Macaca fascicularis: one gene and its partners. The protein of the gene in region 2 binds, or shares a complex with, the protein of the main gene of each other region. Links are inferred from orthologs where the notes say so. Each region holds a gene or a part of one and is shown on either strand. Other genes may lie near its edges. The genes, in order: BMP10, BMPR2 and INHBB.

The links.
Region 1: the proteins of BMPR2 (region 2) and BMP10 are in contact, whole or in part, in a crystal structure (PDB 7PPA), measured with the Homo sapiens proteins. The link is inferred for Macaca fascicularis from reciprocal best matches to the Homo sapiens genes BMPR2 and BMP10. Residues at the interface, in NP_001195.2 of Homo sapiens: Asp38, Ser64, Tyr67, Leu69, Lys81, Cys84, Trp85, Ser86, Ile88, Gly89, Asp90, Pro91, Gln92, Glu93, Thr103, Thr104, Pro105, Pro106, Ile108, Tyr113, Phe115; in NP_055297.1 of Homo sapiens: Tyr329, Lys333, Asp338, Ser339, Trp340, Ile342, Ala343, Pro344, Pro345, Gly346, Tyr347, Glu348, Glu395, Pro396, Ile397, Ser398, Ile399, Leu400, Leu402, Val407, Tyr409, Phe411, Ala417.
Region 3: the proteins of BMPR2 (region 2) and INHBB are in contact, whole or in part, in a crystal structure (PDB 7U5O), measured with the Homo sapiens proteins. The link is inferred for Macaca fascicularis from reciprocal best matches to the Homo sapiens genes BMPR2 and INHBB. Residues at the interface, in NP_001195.2 of Homo sapiens: Tyr40, Tyr67, Leu69, Val80, Lys81, Trp85, Ser86, His87, Ile88, Gly89, Asp90, Gln92, Ile108, Gln109, Tyr113, Phe115; in NP_002184.2 of Homo sapiens: Phe309, Asn318, Asp319, Ile322, Ala323, Pro324, Gly326, Tyr327, Tyr328, Thr379, Met380, Ser381, Met382, Leu383, Phe385, Asp386, Asn390, Ile391, Val392, Lys393, Asp395, Ile400.

The regions. Positions count from the first base shown.
Region 1 is NC_088387.1:53,085,422-53,090,101, reverse strand, and holds the start of BMP10 (bone morphogenetic protein 10), read right to left. Parts: upstream 3,065-4,680; 5' UTR 3,027-3,064; coding exon 2,693-3,026; intron 1-2,692. UniProt on the Homo sapiens protein: Required for maintaining the proliferative activity of embryonic cardiomyocytes by preventing premature activation of the negative cell cycle regulator CDKN1C/p57KIP and maintaining the required expression levels of cardiogenic factors such as MEF2C and NKX2-5.
Region 2 is NC_088386.1:98,427,728-98,431,706, reverse strand, and holds part of BMPR2 (bone morphogenetic protein receptor type-2), read right to left. Parts: intron 2,203-3,979; coding exon 2,030-2,202; intron 1-2,029. UniProt on the Homo sapiens protein: On ligand binding, forms a receptor complex consisting of two type II and two type I transmembrane serine/threonine kinases.
Region 3 is NC_088386.1:11,399,568-11,404,248, reverse strand, and holds the start of INHBB (inhibin beta B chain), read left to right. Parts: upstream 1-1,728; 5' UTR 1,729-1,765; coding exon 1,766-2,213; intron 2,214-4,681. UniProt on the Homo sapiens protein: Inhibins and activins inhibit and activate, respectively, the secretion of follitropin by the pituitary gland.

The DNA of each region.
Region 1 (4,680 bases), on a different chromosome or scaffold from region 2:
TAAAAGGCTCCCTTACTTCTTTATCTGAAAGTTCCCTCCCCTCCCCTCTGAAATCACTTGAGCACTTTACATCTCCTTTGATCTTTGTCATTTACATCCTTATATTTCAGCCATCTTTTTATGAATGAATTTTCCCAACTAGATTGCCATCCTCCTGGTTTGAATGGCTCAAAACTCCCTTGTATGTCTCTGTCCTACTATGATGGCTTAAACAGAGGTAGTGTTTTAAAAATATTGATTAGTTGATGATTCTAGGCATCAGACTAAATTGATTTATGTGCGTGACATATGACCTTAATCCATCATCAAGCTCTTGGGTTGGGCTTGGGAATTATTCTCCCACTCTTAGAAGGGAGGAGACTTGACTCCCCATGGACAGGGAACATGGAGGAGTAGGCTGGCTGCTCTACCCAGGAGAAAAGTATAAAATAAGAGCTCACTGTAGTGGGAAGAAGGCATTACAAAGCATACAAGGAAGCTTTTGATGTTAATGGATATATTCATGATCTTCATTGTGGTGATGGTTTCAATGAATGTTACCTATGTCAAAACCTTTCAAATTATACACTTTAAATATGTGCAATTATACTTTTATACACCAATATTTTTATAAGTCAAATATACCTCAAGAAGACTGTTTTGAAAAAGTAAGTTCGCTGTGAAGTTCTGTGCATGTGCAAATGCAGTAAGCAATAGACTGAAGAGTTACATTTCAGGGCAAGAGAACTAATGTTTGTTGACAAATTTCTCTTGCCAGATGCTTTGCAACCATGATCTTCTCTGGTTCTCACAATGACCCCATAATGCAGGTATTGATTCTCTGCTCATTTTGCACCAGAAGAAATCAAGCCTCGATGCAGAGAACTGACTTCCCCTGACAAGGTGATAAAGGAGCAGTGCTAGGAATTGAGGGCATGCTTTTTTCACTTTGGAGGTGGCACTTTTTTTCCTAAGATGATGTAGGTTTGGAGTTTTTTTTTGGTCTTTGTCTCCTAGGGAGCTGCACTAAGCAGATCCAAAGAGTAAGAAGAGAGGCAATAGTAGCCAACAGTGTGTGCCCTGTGCGATTTCTGTCCTCAGGCTGCACATTTCCTGCAGACGGGCCGAGGTGCTGGCGGCTGGGTTGTTTACTGAGAGATGTGTGTTCCTGCCCTCAATAATCTCCAGTAATAATAAGCACAGTAAACTCCACATCCTGACCTGGATCATCCAGATACTCTATGAGAGAAGTGAGAACGGAAAATGTTTCTACTTTTCCGGGGGATGCAAACAACATTTTCTCACCGGCACCCGGAGCCAGACACTTAGGGCTCGGTGCTGAGAAGTATTAGGGAGGGTTCTTACAGGAGGAGGTTGTTCATTTTCAATTCAGACTCCCCACCAAAAGGAATCTGTAATCTCATCTTGCCATTTCCATGAGAAAGATGTTATGAAATAGAAATTTTGTCAGCCAACTCAATTTTAAAGGCAGATAATATCTTAGAGACTAAGGAATACCTACTCAACATTTATTCCAGCACCTAGAATATTAAGTAACTCATTAGTAATCACTGAAGTTGGATCAGCACTTCATAGTAAATGGAGTGCTTTCTTATCTGTAACCTCTTTTGAGTCACTCAACTATGTTACTAGGTATTATTACCCCCACTTTACAGATGAGGAAATTGAGGCTCTGAGTCATCAGCTAATTATTTACAACCACTAAGCCAACCAGCCCTTAAAATTCCAAGCCCTGAGCTATTTCTTCACTATTACCTTTCTTCTTTTGAGAACATCTGGCCAACATTGATGGGAAGCTTCTTTTATACCTGTTTAGTGACTATAAAAACATAATTGGCAAATATTAAATTAGTTCATTTGGACTATCAGCTTCTACCATGGATATTTAGATATCAGAGTTTTTTTTCCTACCAGGACCATATTAAGCAAAAAATAAAAAATAGAAAATAAATAACTTGCTAGCTCATTAGATTTAGTTACCAAATTTAAAGACTGAAGAGAAGAAAACACACTTTTCCCACCAGTAATTCAAAGCTTGTACGTTGCTCTTTATAAAGACGGAAATGATGAGCTGGATGATTAATGGGCCATCCACACTTCCTGGAAACTGTAAACAGTGCTTTAAGGATGTACATGACACATCAAACAACATAGCCTTAGGAAGAATCTTTAAAATATATTTCCATCCTGTTTGAATATTTCTTAAATAAGGTCACAAAATAAAAACTTATCAAAAGTTTCAACAAAACACAAATCACAACTCGATGTTTTTTGACTGATTTTATCCTTGGTATTCTAAGTAGAAGTTGAGAAATTTTTTAGTTAATTAAAAGCCCAAATGGCAATCAAGGCCTATTTGGAAAATGACAAAGATACGGCAGTAGACCAACATTAATTCTTTGTGTTGACTGGTGTTCAAATTAACATTTTTTAACAGGACCCAATGATGATGTCAAATTGATAGATATTTTGTGGCTTTGGATTAAAAGATGTTTGTAAGTATTTATTGAGGTTCTGAAATGACTATATAAACGGTATAGAGCAAAATGTGCCTTGTTTTAGTGTTATCTGTATGTATTTAACATCCTTATATAGATGTATTTAGCCTTACCTATATCATTCCCATGCATTGTAAATTTACTTATCGTGTCTTGAAAAAAATCCAAGCCAAATTTCATCAGCAAAAACTTACCTTCATTCTTGAAACTCCGAATGATGTTGGCAGAGGGCATGGAGGTCCGATCTGTTGCAAATTTGTTGTAGAGTTCCAACATGTACTCTGGTGGGTCCACCTTGGCTGAATCCTGCGTGGGGATGTCAGAGAGGTTTAGTGTCTTGAGAAACTCATCCTTCATGCTCTGGAGCAGTGTGTTAAAGTCGACACCATCTTGCTCTGAGAAAACATCATCAAAAAGGGGCATATCTTCTTCCAGAGGAGACTGCTCTAGGCTCATGATGGGGCTCCCAGAAACCGAGTGAGCTGCCAGGCAGAAAAGAGCGCACAGTGTCAGGCCCAGAGAGCCCATGACTCCGCTCGAGCCCCTAGGCCAAGCCAGGAAGGTTTAGCTCTCCTGGGCTCTAAGTGGCAGTTTTATCTTGTGGAGCGTAAATGTCTCCTGTCACTGGAGACAAGTTTGGAAACTCTTCCTCTCTCTCTCCCTCCCCCTACCACTCTTCCTCTCCCCCTAAAAGTCAGGTTGCAGTAATTGGATAACAAAATCCCCTATAGGGGCCTAGCCTTTCTTATCTCCCTAGTGTAAACTTGTGCACCAGAATTTGTTTCTATCTTGCAATCCTTATTTCTTTTAATGAGCATTTTGTAAACATTTCCACATTCTGACACTGGTCGAGAGATAGGACAATTTTCTCTTTGCAAAGGCTCTGCTTCTCTTCCCTTCAATTCACTTCCTTTCAGCAGGAATGCCTCAATTCTGTTTTTATGGGGCTTAGTTTCACACATGCATATAATAGGTATAAGAATCAACATAATGCACATCAGTGGTGATACATAGTAATTTGAGTGGTAGGGCTTACATCCTCAGATAAACACTTCTGAAGACAGACCAAATATCCAAACTTTCCAAGTTTAAGTTAATGGCTATAAATGGATTATATAAGTTTTTAGAAGTATACCTTTTTAGAAACAGGAAAGTATAAACTTCATGATTGATAGCCTTTTTTCCTACCTATTTGATCTGGCTAAAATGGCATGTGAAAAAGAGGCAAGTGCTTAGTTATAGCGGCAACTAAAATTGATTAGATGCTTCCTACAAACAGGCATTGTACTGAGTGCTTTACATCTATCATCAGGTGTGCTCCCGTAATAACCCTATCATTATCTCTATCACATATATGGGTCAGTGAAGTTATGTAGCTTGCCAGAGGCCACAAACCTGCAAAGTGATGGAGTTACAATTTGAACCAAGGCAGTCTGATTCTTATGAAGAATAAAACCGTCACACTTTTAAACACAATTCCACCATACTAGGGCATGGGCAATAATGCTGAGAGGCCAGCACATCCCCAGATCATCCTGGAGGCAGGAGGCAGGCAGAAATTTGCAGTTGGATATGGACCTCAGGTCCTCCACCTGTGCAATGAATTGTTAATATGACCGGCATCTCTGCCAAATTCATCCTTCTGACTCAATCAAATTGTCATCAAGAGGTTCCAGCAAAAGCTTGGTGTGATGGTTAATACTGAGTGTCAACTTGATTGGATTGCAGGATGCAAAGTATTGATCCTGGGTGTGTCTGTGAGGGTGTTGCCAAACGAGATTAACATTTGAGTCAGTGGGCTGGGAAAGGCAAACCCACCCTTAATCTAGGTAGGCACCATCTAATCAGCCGCCAGCATGGCTAGAATATAAAGCAGGCAGAAAAACGTGAAAAGACTAGACTGGCCTAGAGTCGCAGCCTATACCTTTCTCCCATGCTGGATGCTTCCCGCCCTTGAACATGGGACTCCAAGTTCTTCCGTCTGGGGACCTGGACTGGCTCTCCTTGCTCCTCAGCTTGCAGACGGCCTATTGTGGGACCTTGTGATGGCGTGAGTTAATACTTAATAAACTCATATACATATATATCCATTCCCTATTAGTTCTGTCCCTCTAGAGAACCCTGACTAATATACTTGGCAAACAACATTACCAGGCACACAAAAAACGCCAAATGCCTTGGT
Region 2 (3,979 bases):
TTATGAGAGGAAGAACCATGGTATATGTTTTCTGTACTTCCATAATTCTAGATGCATGGTGCCTACTCAAAAGTTATGTTATCAATTAAGTTCCAATGGCCAAATGGTAAAAAGAATATAAGCTTTTAGGTTGTTCCAAAGGCCTCCATTAAGAAGCACACCCTAGTAATGGCGCATATCTTTCTGGGATAGTCTGAGTCATATCAGTAAAAGTCCTTGAGCCTAAGGTATAAGGTAGAATATGATGTTCAAATAAAGGATCAAAGATTCAGAATTGCTCTCCAATTATCATGGGTTCTTTGCTGTCATTGTCATTCCTTGGGAATGTCCGTTATTTATAAGGGAGATGACAGGAGGAAAAGAAGAAAAAGTTGTTATACAGTACAAGAAAAGACATGGAGGGTAAGATTCAGTAAAATAAAACTTAGAGTAACTATGGGATGAATGATAATTTTGGGGAAATTATTAGTAGAGACTGGAGATGAGAAGATGCATGCAGAAGGTTGAGCCGAATGACACAGGAGGCAAAAAATGGCCAAATCAAGGTGGGCCATCAAGGGTTTTTTTTCTTACCATTCAAGAAAAGTTTGAAAGCATTCAAAATAAAAGCTTTAGCTGACTTTTGAGAGAGGTATAAACATCATACTAGAGGACATGGGAAATACAGAGATGAGGGGAGATGAAAGCAGAAGACAGTCCTCAGGTATGTGTAAAGTGAAAAAATTTATAATTAGAATAGCCAGTGTCTAACTTTCTTGATTTGCTGATATATAAGGTGTAAGAGTTTATAACCGAAACTAATTTAACCTATATAAAAGTAGTGCAAACCAAATTTTTGACCTATGGCTAATATAAATGGCTTTCACAAATTAGAACAACAGAAAATAGGCTGGGCGCGGTGGCTCACACCTATCGCCTATAATCTCCAGTACTTTGGGAGGCCAAGGCAGGTGGATCACCAGAGGTCGGGAGTTTGAGACCAGCCTGGCTAACGTGGTGAAACCCTGTCTCTAATAAATATACAAAATTAGCTGGGGATGGTGGCTCATGCCTGTAATCTCAGCTACTCGGGAGGCTGAGGCAGGAGAATCGCTTGAACCCAGGAGGCAGAGGTTGCAGTGAGCCAGGATCATGCCACTGCACTCCAGCCTGGGGGACAGAGTAAGACTCAGTTTCCAAAAAACAAACAAACAACAACAACAAAACAAACAAACAAACAAAAAAAACCCCAAAAAACCACACAGGAAAAAAAAAAAAGTTTCAAGAATCGAGTTTATTTTTATTTCAATCTTCTCCAATAACCCTTTCCTGGATGCCTTTCTGAAAGTTTTAAACATGTATTAGACAAAATGACAGAGTCATACAAAGGCTTTTTTACCCCAAATATGGAACAAAGAAATACAGACGTAGAAAGTTCCAAATTGTAGGAATTTTTAAAAAGCCTTTTTATTTAGAACCAAAAATCATAGTTCTAGCAAAGAAAAAGTCTTGTAAAGTAGTATTAATGATGGACTAGAAAGACCTTTGAATTGCTTTCATGTAAAAGTAGTAGTAGTATACTCTATAAGAAAGAGCATTAGATAGGAAGTCTAGAAACCTTAGTGTCAGTGAAACAGTGGTTAGATAGGCAAGTTCATAGTTCCATTTACTTAAAAAAAAAGCAGAGGAAGAAGGAATAGTAACAACAAAGGATAAATGAGACAATTTACACAGAAGTGCTTATGAACTTTTGGAGTTATGGAAACATTTTACCTTTATTATTGCAGGAAAGTTGGACCATAAATAGAGAAAGACTAACTTCTTTCACTATACCTTTACATATAAAAAAAATGCAGATTTCATCTCGCACTCGTACCAAACAAAAATGTTCAATAGAAGAATAGGAATATTGAAAGAAAAATGATAACTTTGGACTGTATGAGATAATCATTGAACCATTAGGCTGGTTTAAAGGTATTTATTTTCTGTTATTTATTGGGTCTCAGTTTCTAATACTGATTGACAGGTGCCACACCCCTTAGGGTCTTACCGTTCATTCTGCATAGCAGTAGTCATTGGATTGACTGTTGGGCTCACAGATTTGTTTCTTTCCCAAATCATCATAAGTTCAGCCATCCTTTCCTCAGCACACTGTGCAGTAAGCCGAGCCTCTGCATCCTGGTCCCAACAGTCTTCGATTGTCTCCTTGAGTGACCTCACTGCCTGTAAGACAAAGTACATGTCAAACCGTCTATCTTTAAAAAAAATATATACTGAACTTTTCAGTTCACAACATGAGGTAAAAGAAAAATCAATTACCTTAACCAGTATATTTTACATAGCTAAAATAACGTATTTTAGGCTTCAAGGATTTATAAAGGAACATTCTCAAAAGGTGATGAACAAGTAAACAAGCAGGATTTACCTCAACTCCCTGAAGAATTATTCATTAAGGTAAAAGCAACAATAAGTCGCAGATGTTTCTTCAAGGCCACAGGTTTAGGTCATTGTTGTTAATTCACAGTTATATTATGTCAATCAACAGTCACTAACTCTGCTTCAAAAATAAGTTTTGAGTTTGATGGAATTTGGGGGCATGTGGCTATCTTCTATCTCTAGGTGAGCTTTTCTCCTTTACCCCCAGTTAAGAGTGCTTGGTTGGGCGCAGTGGCTTACGCCTATAATCCCAGCACTTTGGTGGCTGAGGCAGGAAGATTACCTGAGGTTAGGAGTTCGAGACCAGTTTGGCCAATATGGTGAAACCCCATCTCTACTAAAAATATAAAAAAATTGGCCAGGTGTGGTGGTTCACACCTGTAATCCCAGCATTTTGGGAGGCCAAGTCGGGTGGATCACGAGGTCAGGAGTTTGAGATCAGCCTGGCCAATATAGTGAAACCTCGTCTCTACTAAAAGTACAAAACTTAACTGGGTATGGTGGCACGCGCCTGTAGTCCCAGCTATCAGGAGGCTGAGGCAGAAGAATCACTTGAACCATGGAGGGAGTGGGCCGAGATCAAGTCACTGCACTCCAGCCTGCGTGACAGGGTGAGACTCTGTCTCAAAAAAAAAAAAAAAAAAAAAAAAAAGCCAGCATGGTGGTTTGCGTCTGTACTCCCAGCTACTTGGGAGGCTGAGGCAGGAGAATTGCTTGAACCTGGGAGGCAGAGGTTGCAATGAGCCAAGACCGTGCCACTGCACGCCTGTCTGAGTGACAGAGTGAGACTCTGCCTTAAAAGAAGAAAAAAAAAAGTGCCTCATTCCAACCTTAAAACTTATAGACATCTCTTCTTTAAACTAGTTCCAAAACAGTAGTATCAAAAAACAATCCCATTCTGTAGTATTCCTATTCATTAGCAATGAACAATAGTCTCCCTACAATAGTCTCCCTTTTGGGGAAAGCTAGTCTTTTTTTTTTTTTTGAGATGGTGTCTTGCAATGTCGCCTAGGCTGGAGTACAGTGGCACGATCTCTGCTCACTGCAACTTCCGCCTCCCGGGTTCAAGCGATTCTCCTCCCTCAGCCTCCTTAGTAGCTGAGATTACAGGTGCCTGCCACCACACCTGGTTGTTTTTTGTTTGTTTTTTGTTTTTTTGTTTTTTTTTTTATCTTTTAGTAGAGACGGGGTTTCACTGTGTTAGCCAGGCTGGTCTTGAACTCCTGACCTCGTGATCCACCTGCCTTGGCCTCCCAAAGTGCTGTGATTACAGGTGTGAGCCACCGCGCCTGGCCAGGGGAAAGCTAGTTTTAACTCCCTTTTAAAAAATAGGCTAGGTTTGTTTTTAAATATCCACATGATTCAACCATTCTACTCTTAGGTATTCACCTAAGTAAATGAAACCATATGTTTATACAAAGACTTGTATATATCTATATCTGCTACTTGGGATGCTGAGACAGGAAAATCGCTTGAATCCAGGAGGCGGAGGTTGGAGTGAACTGAGATCATGCTACTGCACTCCAGCCTGGGTGACAGAGCAAGGCTCTGTCTCAAAAAAAAA
Region 3 (4,681 bases), about 87 Mb from region 2:
GAGCCTGCCTCTAGCGTCCCAGGCCGCGCCGCACCACCCTCGCCTCGCCAGGCTCGGCCGCGAGGGAGCGCCCCGGGAGGGCCGGGGGCGGCCACGGCGGCGGGAGTCGCCTCTGCCGGTTGGGGAGGGCGGCGGCTGGGACAGGCGCAGGGCCTGCGCGGCCGCGGGGAGGGGGCGGTGGGCCGGGAGGAGCGCCCGGATCCAGCGCCCGGAGCCCGTCGGTGCCGCTGGCCGCCTAACTGGGCAAGGGTCCGGGGCGCCCACGTGGTGGGAAAGTTTCGAGGTAGCAAAAGTAGCCGGGCATTGCGGGGGGTGGGAGGGGAGGGGAGGGGAGGGGAGGGGAGAGGGCCGGGTCGCCCCTCCTTCTCGCGAAGGCAGAAAGGAAAAAAGCGGTGGGAAGCGGGGGTGAGCGCGGGGAGCGAGCAGCCCCAACCTGAACAGATTCCGCCTTCCCCTCCTCCCCCCACCCCGGGAAGCCCGAGCGGGGAGGCACGGACCGTCTCCTCTCGCACGGGCAGGACGACACCCTCCCTCCCCCCCTTTTTTCTGCCAACGTCTATCTCAACGCGCGCGCACATACGGAGATTGTGCGGCTTTTTTCCCCCTTGGGAGAAAAAACGGGGAGAGTAAAGGAAGAGAGGGCAAAGAGAAGAACTCCTCCTCGGCGAGCTCCGCACTCCGTACCGCGGCTCGGCGCGGGGACGCCGCCGCCGCCCGCCCGCTCTCTCCCGGCCCTGCGGCGGGTGCCAGTGCGAGCGCGAGCGAGGGCACCGCACCCGGGGACGCTGCGAGACTTTTCGGCGCTCGAGCCGACCTCGCGGCCGCCGCGGCAGGCAGAAGAGACAGGGGCGAGAAGGGCCCTGCCTCCTCCTCGCCTTCCTCGCCCGGAGCCCCGCGCCCGGCCGGGCCGCGCAGGCAGGCGGAGGGAAGGAAGGAGGGAGGCTGCGAGGAGGCGGGCGGAGCAGAGGCCACGGCGAAGCGCGCTGCGGCCGCCCGCCCGCCCGTGGATGCGGCGCCCAGGGAGCCTGGAGACAACTTTGCCGTGTGACGCGCCGGGAGGACTGCAGGGCCCGCGGCCGAGGGCTCGGCGCCGCCTGTGAGCGGGCCCGCGCGGCCGGCTCTCCCGGGCACCGCGCTTGCTCCGCGCCACTGCCCGCCGGCCCGCGGCGAGGACGACCTGCCCGTCTCCGCCGCCGGCGGCCCTTCCCGGCGCGAGGCAGTGAGGGCGAGGCGCTCAGGTGCGAGCGCGGGGCCCCGCCGCAGCGCCCGCCGCAGCGCCGCGCCAAGCCGCGCCCGGCTCCGCTCCGGGGGGCTCCAGCGCCTTCGCTTCCGTCTCGGCCAAGTTGCGTGGACCTGCTCTTTCGCCACCTTCCCCGGCCGCCGGCCGAACCGCCGCTCCCACTGCCGCTGCTTTCGCTTCACCCGAGCCGGGGCTGCGGGGCCCCCGACGCGGAGAGGATGGGGAGAAGGCTGCAGATGCCGAGGCGCCCCGAGACGCCCGTGCAGCAGTGACCCGCGACCTCCGCCCCGTCCGGCGCGCCCCTCGGGCCCCCGGGGCCCTCGGCGCCCCTTCCCCGCCGCGCGGGAACCCCCGCGGCCCGGCCGGCCCCCTCCCCCTGTGAGCCGGCGGCGGCCCTCCCGGCAGGCGGGCGGGCGGAGGCCCGGGCGGGGGCGGGGCGGGGCGGCGCGCCCGGAGCCCGGAGCCCGGCCCTGCGCTCGGCTCGGCTCGCCTCGCGGCGGGCGCCCTCGTCGCCAGCGGCGCACCATGGACGGGCTGCCCGGTCGGGCGCTGGGGGCCGCCTGCCTTCTGCTGCTGGCGGCCGGCTGGCTGGGGCCTGAGGCCTGGGGCTCACCCACGCCCCCGCCGTCGCCTGCCGCGCCGCCGCCACCCCCGCCACCCGGAGCTCCGGGTGGCTCGCAGGACACCTGTACGTCGTGCGGCGGCTTCCGGCGGCCGGAGGAGCTCGGCCGAGTGGACGGCGACTTCCTGGAGGCGGTGAAGCGGCACATCTTGAGCCGCCTGCAGATGCGGGGCCGGCCCAACATCACGCACGCCGTGCCCAAGGCCGCCATGGTCACGGCCCTGCGCAAACTGCACGCGGGCAAGGTGCGCGAGGACGGCCGCGTGGAGATCCCGCACCTCGACGGCCACGCCAGCCCGGGCGCCGACGGCCAGGAGCGCGTTTCCGAAATCATCAGCTTCGCCGAGACAGGTGGGTCCGGTCCTCCGGCTGTCTGCCGCGGTCCCCGCTCGCTCCCGCTTTCCCTCTCCTTGCCAGCTCCGGCTGCTGCTGCCGCCGCCGCCGCCGCCGCAGCCCGCGCGCCCTGGGGGCAGCCCGGACTCCCGGGAGGGCTCCTTCGGCCGTGGCCCTGCGCGCTCCGCCCGGGTTGCAGTCCTCTTCCCCCAGGCCGCAGACCCCCTTCCTGGTGCCTCAACCCCCCGCCGCCGAGCGCCTGGCCCTCCACCCCTGCTCTCCGGAATCGGGCCCCAGCGCCTCTGGGCGCGCGTCCCCCTCCCGGCAGATGCGCGCGGCCCTGGCTCTGCGGGCACTTGGTTGGTGATTGCTTAATGTTTTTGTTTCCCACGATCGGAGTGTAGGCTCAGCAGTGTGGATGGAGATGTGTGTGCTTGTTGATATACGTGGGCCGGAGGAGAGAGAGAGTATGTGTGTGTCTGTGTGTGTGTCTGTGTGTGTGTGTGTGTGCCTGCGTGAGAGGCCCCTGGGGCCGCTTCCATCACCGGCGGCGTGGGCTTGCCAGGATTGCTGAAGCCTCGCTGGGGAGAGCTAGGCAACCTCTCTTCCGATTGTGTGGGCACTGGAATCGGGCGGAAGGCAGGCTTCTCAACAGGTCCATCATTTACACAGAGAAAGCCGCGGCTCGGGGACAGCCCCGTGCCTTTCGGCTTGCCTGGCAGCTGCAGCAGACCCCTCGCCCGAGAGGCGCAGAGTCGTAGTTAACAAAGGGTATGGCTCCTTTCTGGAATCCGCACCCCCCCACTCGGCCCCAGATTGCAAATCTCTAACACTGTCTAAATATAAAAATCAGGGAGAGAAAAATCTTTCGGAACTTTAAAAGAAGAAGAAAAATGTGCCCGCGCCAAAATGCTGCAAGTGCTTTCGACTCCGCTGTCCTTTTCAGGACTTGAATGAGCCAGGCTGGCTTTTGTGCCTGGAGCTCGGCCCCATTTGTGCCGAGGGGACTGCGGAGAAGGTCGCAGAGGGGGAAGCCCCGGTGCAGTCAGGGCGGGGGCAAGCGGGGAGCCTGGGTGGGGGGAGCGGTTGTGCCCCTGGCTGTAAATGCCCCCCACCCCCCCCAGGCAGCAGGCAGCCTGGGGATGAAAAGGGATGAAAAGTTTTGCATGGCCGGGTGTGGAGAAAAGCAGAGACAATCGGGGCTGGTTTGTGCTTAGAAAGAAATGCATTGCCGTTTTAGCTGTCCACTAAAGTGAGTCAGGGAAAGCTCGCCATGCAATTAGAGGGCTCGGATTAAAAGGTGCTTTGGGGCCCAGAGTTAGAAATGTGATTCTGGAAGGTCGAGGAGGCCTTTTGGTCCCGGTGGCACAAAATGACAGCGGGGGCTGTTATATTTCTGGTCCGTTTCACGGAGCCAGCTCTTTGACTTATAAATAACAGATTCAGGTCACAGGCAGCTCGTCCAAGACCAGCTTTTAAGGCTGCAGTTTCCCCCATTTCAAAGTCAGATGTCAGTGTTATTAGAGGAGCCAGGCGAGGCCTGAGGTGTAGGGGCTTGGGAGGGGCATGGTAGGAGGTTTGATAAAACCAGCCCTGACCACAGAGTTTCGTTATTTGTTCTTCCTGGAAAAAAAAAAAAAAAAAAAAAAAAAAGGAAAGGAAAACGTAGATTGTCAGAGGGAAGGGTCACTGAAATGTAGGATGAGAGGGGAGTCATCTCTTGATTGGCACAGCCTCCTTCTTGTTGAGCTGAATTATTGAGAAAATTAACAAGCTAGTTCCCCTACTCCTTGGAGATTTTGAACGTGCCATTAACGGGGAGCCAGAGTCTTGTCAAAGGATTGGACCTCAAGTTTTAAGGCTGAATGTCCTGTCCCTTGAAACTACTCGGAAATAAGGGCTAGGCTCTGCAGCCTGCAAAGCACGCGTTCCTATGTCAGAAACCTGAGCAGAGCCTGCTTGTTTGCAGTGGAGGTTCCACTGGGGGTTGGATCAGATCATACTTAGGTAAACACTGGAAAGAGGCAGTAGGTGGCTCAGCTTGATTTTGCAATGCACTAAGTTAACCAAAAAAAAAAAAGAAAAAAAGAAAAAGCCCTACTAAAACCACCCACCCCAAAATCCTCCCTGCGATCCTGGTTTTGTTTTTCAGATTTCACAGATACCCATAACAACTTGTTAAGATCTTGGCCCCCTGACAAGTTCTTCTGTTGTGCTTTGAGGCCTGACAGCCTGTCTCCAGGGAGCCCTGGCCTGGGAGAGGTGAGGCAGGATTTGATAGGCCCGGACCCTCCAGCCCTAACCTGGTCCGGGTTTCTCAATGGGAAATGATTTTCTCTGCCGCTCCCAGGTTACAGTCAGAGGCCCTGGCCCCAAGAACGGTATTTCTGGTCAATAACGTTTTCCAGCTGTGTGGCGAGTTGCATTCCAGCATCCTGCAGCAGAGAGTGCGTTTCCCCCATTGCCTCGTGTTCCCCTTGAATTAA